Rattus norvegicus: one gene and its partner. The protein of the gene in region 1 purifies or fractionates together with the protein of each later gene. This does not show direct contact. Links are inferred from orthologs where the notes say so. Each region holds a gene or a part of one and is shown on either strand. Other genes may lie near its edges.

Region 1 (4,658 bases):
TTCTCCTGCCTCAGCCTCCTAAGCCATGGGATCAAAAGTGCTCACTGTCACACAGGCTAAAACAACCCGCTTTACAAGTGCTGCCTACGTAATTTGAAAGGCATTTTAAGGGATTAGGCATATATAGTTAAGCATTTAAGATGAATGTATTTATAGAACTAACATTTAACACACTACTAGGACTAAATGTTTTCTCTTTCTCTCCCAAAAGCAAATTGGTTTATTTCCAAAATAGGTTTGGTACCTTCTGCAGTAAAGTGACTTAATATTAAGCTCATGCATCTGTAATTTAAATGCAAAGCACACCACTATAAGACAGATACAGAGAGATAGATGACAGTGCCTTAAATGAAGAGCGGCTCTATGATAGGCCAAGCATCAGGAATATGGAAACCATAGTTTGATGCAGCAGAGAAAGCACTGGTTTAGAAGTTCTAGAAAGTATGGTCCTTGTTTTAGCTCTGAGGTACTAACTGTGTGATTCAGGCATGCCATTTCTACTACACAGGGGTAGGTTTATCTGTAAACAGGCAGTAATGAGATCAACACAGTTGTTTTGGGAGGCAGCATCTACATAGGTCCTGGCTATCTTTGAGCTCTCTATGAAGACTAGACTGGCCTTGAACTCACAAAGATCTTCCTGACTCTGTCTCTCAACTGCTGGGATTAAAGGTGTGTGTTTCCATATTTGGCAAGATCAACAGTTTTTAACCTAGGGTTACACTGTGATATTTGCATATGCTTATAATTTTAGGCCTAGGACCAGTAACTTAGCAAACAAGAAAAGGACTGCAAAAGATTTTTATCTAGCATTTTAATTATATTTTAGCGCTCCAAAGTATATGCATTAATACATGTACATTAATTAAAGGAAACTCACTGGAGGATCAAAAATGGCCTCTTGTGCTTAGGGACTAGGAATTGCAATGGTTATGCACAACCATACAGATCCCATGACAGAACAGAGAGAGGTGCTGGGTTTCCAAATCTAGAGTCATCTCTTATGACACTGTCATCTTCGAAGATTATCTGGTTACTCACCTCCAGGTGTGTTGATTACCAAACTGGAAAACAATAGGTCCACATTCTTAAAGCCAAAGTAGAAGGTCATAGGCTGCCAGAAAACCAAACGAGTCAGTTAGAGAAGACTGAGGATCCTAAAGGGAATCTGGGAGTCTCGGGCAATGAGACTTAGAACACTTAAAAGTAACCTGCCTGGATAAGAAGAAATACTTGAGGCAGTGGGAGGCTTACTACCTTGGCACTAAGAGCCCCCCGCCCCCAGTCCCATGTCTTTCTCTCTTTTCTACATGAAATACAAACACTAGGATTTAATTCAGGAAAAGGTGAATTTCAAAAGAAAGGGTTAGGGAAGAAAGAATTCTACAGAATCTTGGTTCTGGTGTCACTCTGTCACAAGCCTGCCACATGAACACTGGTAAGTCACTAGGCTTGCCTGGGGGATCTGCTGTGCTTTCCCTCTTGGGTAACCCCAAATGTGGAAGCCTTACCATCATCATCTCGTGGGAGTGTGAGGCCGAGGTGGTGGGGTGCTGGTGGGGTGGCATGGTGATGTTGTCGTCCGTGTGGTTCATCCCCATATGATGCATCTCCATGTGGTTCATCCTCATGTGGTCCGAAGGATCCAGTTTTCCAGAAAAAGATGAGAGTCAGCGCAAAGGTCTTTGAAGAAAAACAATTATATATTAGGAACGTAGAATTTTCTTGATAAATACTTTGTCTATACAGAATTTTGTCCAATGAACAAATGCTCTCCTAGATGCAGAGTAACTAGGACTACTAAGGATCGCCTTTGAGAAAAGGGACCAAGGGCTTGTCCTGAAGGCTTAAGATACTTACTCTGCAGAATCATTCCTCTAAGACACAGGTTTTAATGTGTGTTTAATTTAAGGTAGAAAAAAACAGCCCCTTTAGATGGCAGGGAATAGATAATTTGTAATAATGTATAAGTGTAAGCCATTTACAAAAGGTAATTGCTCTAAGGCTGTTTAATCATAAACAGCAGTAGATGAAAAGCCAAGACTTCACATAAGTCTCCTAATTGGGGTGGTCTGTGTAACCAGGATGCGCAGATTCCACTTAGGCCTAGAGGACAATTAACTTTGAGCTCATTTAAATCTGGAGAAAGGTCTGTTGCTGCCTCAGGCAAAGAGTGTGCCCAGACTTCAGAGACAGTTTTAGCTGCACCAGGACATTAGAGTTAAGAACATGAACAACAAGGTATAAATTAGATGAACTATATTAAATTAGGTTTGGACACTGCATAGTCAGCCTTGTGTCTTGCATCATGTTAATGCTTTTCTGCAGAGGTCAACATGAGTCAAGGGGCAGTAACTCCCACGGTTGCTGTGGAGACTGGGGAGTGGGGAGATATATGTGCAGAGGGAGATTTTCATAAAATCTGCCTTTTTCTTTTTTTTTTTTTGTTTTTTCAAGACAGGGTTTCTCTGTGTAGCCCTGGCTGTCCTGGAACTCACTCTGTAGCCTCAAACTCCGCCTCTCAGGTATGTGTCCTCCTCCTCTTTCCCCAATACAACAAGCCTGTCTTTCCTAAGTTTTATTTATTGTATGTGTATGGGTATTCTGCCTGCACGAGTGTGTAGTATCACTTGTGTGCAGTGCCCATGGAGGCCAGAAGAAAGTGCTAGATGCCCTGGAACCCAAGTTACAGACACAAGTGAGCCACTATGTGGGTGCTGGATATGGAGCCTGGACCTTTAGCAAAACCAGCAAGTTTGCTTAACCTCTGAGCCATATGCCTCCCTCCTGAAATCTCTTTGTGTCCCACACTTCCAGTATGTAGGAGAAATTCCAAATTGGAGCAGGGTGTGATGATACACACCTGTAATCTCAGCACTCAGGAGGTTGAGGGAGACAGACTCTGAGTCTGAGGCAATAGTGGGCTATATTGTGAGAACTTGTCTCAAAAAAGTAAAAGAAATTCCAATTAGGTATCCTTGGACTTGAGTCTGTGTATGCTTCTGATTACTCACTGATTAAGCTCCTATCAAGGGCCAAAGTACTAGTGATCCACAGCAAGCAAAGCAAAGCACCTGATGAGGAGAGAAGCGGTGAGGTGCACAGAATCACCTCATGACGTAATCAGTGCTCTGGAGCAAACAAGCAGCGCAGTGTAACATCGACGAGATGTCAGAGATGCTCCTCGAGCAGAGCGTTCATAGCCAGGAAGCTACATGCCCAACTCGAGAGCACAAATGTGCAGCCTCCCCTCCCACTTCCTACCCCATGACTCCATGACAGCAGGCTTACAAAATAGGCACAATTCTATCACTCAGGCAAGTTCCACTTTTCAGCTCCAGTCACTGTCATGCTAGACCCTCCATTATCATTATAGACTTGACAATGTATCTTCCTCTCAACACCATCGCTATGGTATTATGTGGTTTTGCTCATGAAAATTTTATAATAAACACCAAATAACAAAATATAATAGTGAGCCCACAAGTATCAACAATGAGACCATGGGTCAGCAGTCAGTAGCTTTGCTTTAAAAAAGAAAATGATGATGGAATGGTGGGATTATTGGTTATAACTTGGGATTCTGAACCAAATAAATGAAATGGCATCAGAATAAAAGGAGCCAGAATGACTAATAAAGACTCACAAACAGAAGGTACAAATGTTATTTTCTTCCAGTACAAGGCTAGAAGCGATAACAGAAAAGTACCAAAGATAATTTCATTCCACGTTATCAATAGGAATCCAGGCCATGAAGAGGCGGTGAGCATTTTATTGTGTTATTTCTGTGAGGCTGGGGAGATAAAGAAATGAACCAATCTTTCCTTAGAGTACACACCTCATGACGTACTCTTTAAGAGCAGGAACACAGCAACACAAACTACGTGAGTCCTGTACCCTTGATTTCTTCAAACTCTGCCAACACTGTATTTAATAGTATTTGAAGACCTGGAGGTTTCCTTTTGTTTAAGCCCCATGTTCCAATTAGAGAGAACTACTCAATGGTAAACTATCAAAAACTCTTCAGACAGCCCAGGGGCCCAGGAATTCATACACTCGTATGTTCAAAGCTCTAGCAAATCTTTAAACTCTGCACCTGCTCTGCACCTTCATGTGTGTAGGATGCATGCCACATTCACATGCACTAGGGAAGAGTGCAGGAAGACAATCTGCTTGTTTTTCTTGTAGTGGACAATGGACTTCTGTAATGGGAACCTTTTGCAAGGCTTACCCAGTGGAGTCTGAATAGGGAGATGCAGATTGGCGGAAATCAATATACAGTGTAGCTAAACTGCAATTTGAAGTTCTTGTGCTCACTAAGCTTACTCTGAGGATTGTAGCTCAGTGACATCATTTGCTTAGCATGCATGAGGCTCTAAGTGTGACCCTAGCAGTGAGGGAAAGATCCAACAGAACTATGTCAAACCAAATTTATATAAATATATAATATATAATATTAATGTATAGCAGGAAGAACTTAGAAATTATTGAAGAAAACATAATAAATAAGGGCTGGAGCTATAGCTCAGTGGCTGATCACTTGCCCTGCACAAGCGAGAGAGGCCCTGAGATTGATCACCAGCATACACATTATTTATTTATTTACTTACTACTTACTTATTTTGTATCTCTATTTACTTTTCTGTATGAATTTTCTG
Region 2 (5,179 bases), on another chromosome or scaffold:
ATTTCCTCTAAAACTCCTCTCCAGAAGCCTTACCACAGAAAGAAAAGAACCTGGCCTTGTAGTGTTTCATTTTTAATTTTTATTACTTAATTTTGTTGTTTTTCAAGAGGGGGTTTTTCTTTGTAACCCTGGTTGCCCTGGAGCTCAGTAGACTAAGCAGATTCCCCTGCCTGTGTCTCCCAAATGACAGGATTAAAGGTGTGTGTTCACTACTGTGCCCAGCCTCCTAATCCAGCTTTATTCCTGAGTAAACTTGAGACTTGAGCCATCCCCTAGAGTGTTTTACTTGATAAATTGTATTGCCAGTCATAGCATGCTGACTCATGCCTCATAATGTCCAGTACTGAGGGGCCGGAAGAGGGATTGGTACAAAATGAGGTTCTGTCATTATTTTTATTTTTTGATGCAAGGTAGCACTGTGTAGCCATGGCTGGCCTGGGGCTTGCTCAGTAGATCAGACTCAAACACCTCTCTGCCTCTGCCTTCCAAGATTAAAGGCATACCCAACAAACCAGCCCATTTGTCTTTAAAAACGAATTAGTTAAAATAAATTAGAATTTGTTACTTTGTTTACTTCTTTACTTTTTGTTTTGTTTATGTTTTTGCCTGAGGATTATGTATGTGCACTGAAAGTGTGCAGACACCAACAAAGGCCAGAAGAGGGAAGTGAATTCCCTGAACTAGAGTTGCAGGCGGTTGTGAGATGAGAAAGGTATTGGGAATAAAACACTGGGGTTGGGGATTTAGCTCAGTGGTAGAGCGCTTAAGGCCCTGGGTTCGGTCCCCAGCTCCGGAAAAAAAAAAGAAAAGAAAAGGGAATAAAACACTGGTCCTCTACAAGACCATTAAGTTCTCTTAACCATTTCTCCAGCTCTCGTTTTTCCTTTTTTCCTTCTTTTAATTTCCTTCCTCCCTTCCTTCCTTCTTTCCTTCCTTCCTTTCTTTTTTTAATTTGAAGTAAGGTCTCACACTGGCTGGCTGGTAGTTTACTGTGTAGACCATGCTAGTCTGCTAGTCTACACTCACAAAGATCTGTCTACTTCTGCTTCCTGAATGCTGGGACTAAAAGTGTGTGCCACCAGGACCAGGTCATCTCATTTTCCTAAAATATATCTTTGTCTGGGAGGTGTAACTTGGTGGCAGAGTGCTTGTATAGCATGTACAAAACCTTGGGTTCAATCCCTAAAACTGAATAATATTGTAGCTAGACACGATGACAAACTTGTAAGTATCAACACTCAAATTGAGCCCTGAAAATTGTTTAGTTTGAGGCTAGCCTGAGCTACAGTATGAGACTGTCTCAAAAAGCCAATAATAGAACTGTTACAAAATATTCACTATTTTTTTTATTAGTTTGTTACTGGGGATTGAACTGCATACCGGCTAGCAAACATGTTATCATTGAGCTACATTTCCAGTCCATATTAATTAAATTAATTAATTAATTAATTTTGGTTTTCCGAGACAGGGTTTCTCTGTGTAGCCTTCTGGCTATTCTGGAACTCTCTCTATAGACCAGGGTGGCCTCAAACTCAGAGGTCCATCAGCTTCTGTCTTTTTAGTGCTAGGATTAAAGGCGTGGGCCACAAGCACCTGGCCTATTTATTTACTTTTTTGACACAGCATCTATGTAATGTCTTGGCTCTCTTAGAACTTGCTATGTAGACCAAAGTGGCCTCAAACTCCACAGAGAGGTCAGTCTACCTCTGTCTCCCCAAATGCTGGGATTAAAGGTGTGTGCAGCTGTGCCCTTCTTTCTAATCCAGTTTTATTCCCGAGTCAATGAGGCTCAGATTAAGCCATTTCTCAAAGTATTTCACTTGATAAAAATGGATGTGGTAGCATAACAGCATTGGGAGGCAGAGGCAGAGGCAGAGACAGAAGGGGCAGGAATTCAAGACCATCATTAGCATATGAGTTTGAGCCAGCTTAGCTACTCGAGACCCTGTGTCAAAAAACAACTTACAAAATGATTCAAACCCAGATCCATATGATCCCATGTCATTTGTCCTACAGTCTTGCCCCAGCCTGAGTCCTGGTTAAGGAAGTTATGACCATGGACTGGAAAGATGGGGCAGGTGAATATCTGCCTGAAATTGATTGACACTCAAGGGAGAGGGAGGTAACTTGGCAGTATCTCAATGCTTGTTTGAATACCTGAAATCCTGGGCTCCATCCTAAGTAACACACACACACACACACACACACACACACACACACACACACACACACAGAGAGAGAGAGAGAGAGAGAGAGAGAGAGAGAGAGAGAGAGAGAGAGAGAGAGAGAGAGAGGGCGCGAGCGCTAGGGGAATTGCCAGAGAACATGCTAACGGTGACCAGGAGCAGCTGTCATTCTCAGTGTAGAGGACCAGGATTACCTGGCCCCTTCCTTCCTGCATCTCCCACTGCAGGCTAGTACAGAAGGCAGAGCTGGTTCGGCTGTCCCAGACCCTGAGCTTGGTGCCCCGTCTACACTGGCTGCTGGTGGAGGATGCTGAGAGCCCTACCCCGCTGGTCTCGGGGCTGTTGGCTGCCTCTGGTCTCCTCTTCACACACCTGGCTGTCCTTACCCCCAAGGCTCAGCGGCTTAGGGAAGGTGAGCCAGGCTGGGTCCGGCCCCGAGGAGTAGAACAGCGCAACAAAGCCCTGGACTGGCTCAGAGGAAAAGGGGGTGCTGTAGGGGGAGAGAAGGACTCACCACCACCAGGCACCCAAGGAGTCGTGTATTTTGCTGACGATGATAACACCTACAGCCGGGAGCTCTTTAAGGAGGTGAGCCCTGGGATGAAGATGGAGAAAGAGCCAGGAGGGACCAGTGTCCTTCTTTCTCTTGCTTACCGTGTTGATGTGGGCTGGTGCGGGAAGATGGGGAACAGTAGGGAAGGGGTGTCAGTAAACAAAGTAGTTCTTTTCCTTGGACCTCCCCTCTCTGTTTCTTCTCTCCTCTCCATCAGATGCGTTGGACTCGTGGTGTCTCAGTGTGGCCTGTGGGGCTGGTGGGCGGCCTGCGATTTGAGGGCCCTCGGGTACAGGATGGCCGTGTTGTGGGTTTCCACACAGCATGGGAACCCAACAGGCCCTTTCCCCTGGACATGGCAGGATTTGCAGTTTCCCTGCCCTTGCTGCTGGCTAAGCCTAATGCCCAGTTTGATGCTACTGCACCCCGGGGCCACCTGGAAAGTAGTCTCCTGAGCCATCTTGTAGATCCCAAGGACCTGGAGCCCCGGGCTGCCAACTGTACTCAGGTAAGAGGCTGGAGGAACACTCCAGGGGAGCAGCTAACAGAAGGGGGAATGTGTGTTGGAGCCAGGAGAAACCCTCCACATATCTCACCAACTTTGCTTTCAAAGGCTACTGAGAGTCAGGGTATGGCTCCTGCATTTCATCATACAGACTTCTGTGAACCCATGTGTGCATCAGACAGACAAGGAACAAAGTCCCATTTTAGAGACAGTAAAGTTCCCCCAGCACAATATGTCATACATTGTATACCAACTCTGAATGTAGAAGAGGTGGGGTGGGGGGAAATCGGTTTTAGATCACATACCCGAGGCCCTGGTTATGGCTGGTTTTAACCCTAGACCTTCCTTCACAGGTACTGGTGTGGCATACCCGGACAGAGAAACCGAAGATGAAGCAGGAGGAACAGCTACAGCGACAGGGCCAGGGGTCAGACCCAGCTATTGAGGTGTGATGGCAATCTCACCCTGACTTCTACCTTATTTTAGGCACATACCTTGTGGGACTGGGCTCCAGGCCAGCCCAGGATGTGGCTTTTTTTTTTTTTAAGACCTGATCCCTCAGAACCAGAGGCAGCCCCTCCAACCACAGGGTGTGGCCCAGTTGCTTCTCTGCCTTCTTCCAGCCTGCCATGTGGCACTGCCCACAGGCTGGGGACAAGCAGCTTCTGTAGTGAGCCAGGTCAGCCCCATCTGGGGTGGAGCAGGACAGATGGACTCAGGAGGGAGGGTAACTTATTGGGGACAAGCATGCAGTGGGGGGCTAGAGGAGCTGGGCTGGACCCTCCCCACCTGAGCATGCTGATCCCCTTCCTACCTCTAGAATAAAGAATCTCAACCCAGAGGGGCTTCATGGTTCCCCTCACTTGGCAAACCTGCTTGCTGCTCTCTGATCTCAAGAGACCGGGTGCCTGTTCCTACACAGGACAGGCTGGGCTCCTCCTCTGCACAGTCCTTCCTGCCCCCTTCCCCTTGACAAGAGAGAGAGCAGTGACTTCTGTCCACAAACTTTATTGTAGAGTCTGAATACTAGAAAGAGTCTTCAGTCCGTTGGCTGTCACTTCCCTCTCACCCTCATCTCTTCTCAGCCTTGGTGGTTTTGACCGCAATGGCTGGGCTTCAGGACACTGGACCTTGTCACAGTCCAGCTCTGATTGCTCTAACTCCTGTAATCCCAGGAACCACTCTTTCCCTGAGCCTGAGTAAAGGATTCTGAGTTCTCCATATTTGTCCATCTTTCCCCTTCCCACCCCGACGACCCCTTCAGGTTTCTAGGCCTCAGCTAGAACTTCCTTGGGAGGTTCCTCATCTGGTGGGGCCTCCTCAGGTGCTGGCTTGTGGGCAAGCCCTCCCTGTAGCCATGCAGTTTGCAGTATGTCTTTCAGCCCACCAGGCAAAAGATAGCCCTGGGTCTCTCCTTCCCCATCAATGACTCCTCCAAGGCCTTCCAGCGCTGTCTGCAAATACCGCAAACCAAGGAGCACAAGAACCTGTAAGGAGAAGCAAGTAGAAAGGGTGATTGTCAGTGGATTTGGGGCCACAGGGCTGAAAGTAGAAGGAGTCAGGGCCCTTGTCTGACTGACCTGCAGCAATAAGGTGACAGCCAGAATACTTCCCAGTGTGCCGGACAAACCCTGCAGGTGCCCCACGAGCACTTCGTGGCACCCTTGGGCCCACAGGTTTAGGTTGGGCTGCCGAGGATCGAAGAGTGGATGGGCATAGGGGTCTGAGAGCTGGCTTTGCAGGCAGGGCCGGGGTGAGTGGGGGTTACAACAGGAGAAGGGCACTCCATCAATCAGATATAAACCTTCCACGTTGCTCTGGATCCGGCTGCAGAGACATAGATAAGATAGTTAGGTGGCCGCAGATAGAGGCCTAGCGGAGCATCTGAGAGCAGGGGCAGTTGAGAAAAATGATTATGAAACATTTACTGAGTGC

What was found.
Region 2: the proteins of Slc31a1 (region 1) and B3gat3 purify together in Homo sapiens (co-immunoprecipitation; 3 studies listed by BioGRID and IntAct, with this or other methods). This does not show direct contact. The link is inferred for Rattus norvegicus from reciprocal best matches to the Homo sapiens genes SLC31A1 and B3GAT3.

Annotation. Positions count from the first base shown.
Region 1 is NC_086023.1:80,850,763-80,855,420, reverse strand, and holds part of Slc31a1 (high affinity copper uptake protein 1), read right to left. Parts: intron 1,880-4,658; exon of another isoform or gene 1,861-1,879; intron 1,684-1,860; 5' UTR 1,632-1,683; coding exon 1,512-1,631; intron 1,115-1,511; coding exon 1,042-1,114; intron 1-1,041.
Region 2 is NC_086019.1:215,248,919-215,254,097, forward strand, and holds the end of B3gat3 (galactosylgalactosylxylosylprotein 3-beta-glucuronosyltransferase 3), read left to right. Parts: intron 1-2,413; coding exon 2,414-2,774; intron 2,775-2,956; coding exon 2,957-3,247; intron 3,248-3,597; coding exon 3,598-3,696; 3' UTR 3,697-4,084; downstream 4,085-5,179. Other genes in the region: Rom1 (rod outer segment membrane protein 1), read right to left, coding at 4,513-4,731, 4,825-5,071. UniProt on the Homo sapiens protein: Glycosaminoglycans biosynthesis. Involved in forming the linkage tetrasaccharide present in heparan sulfate and chondroitin sulfate.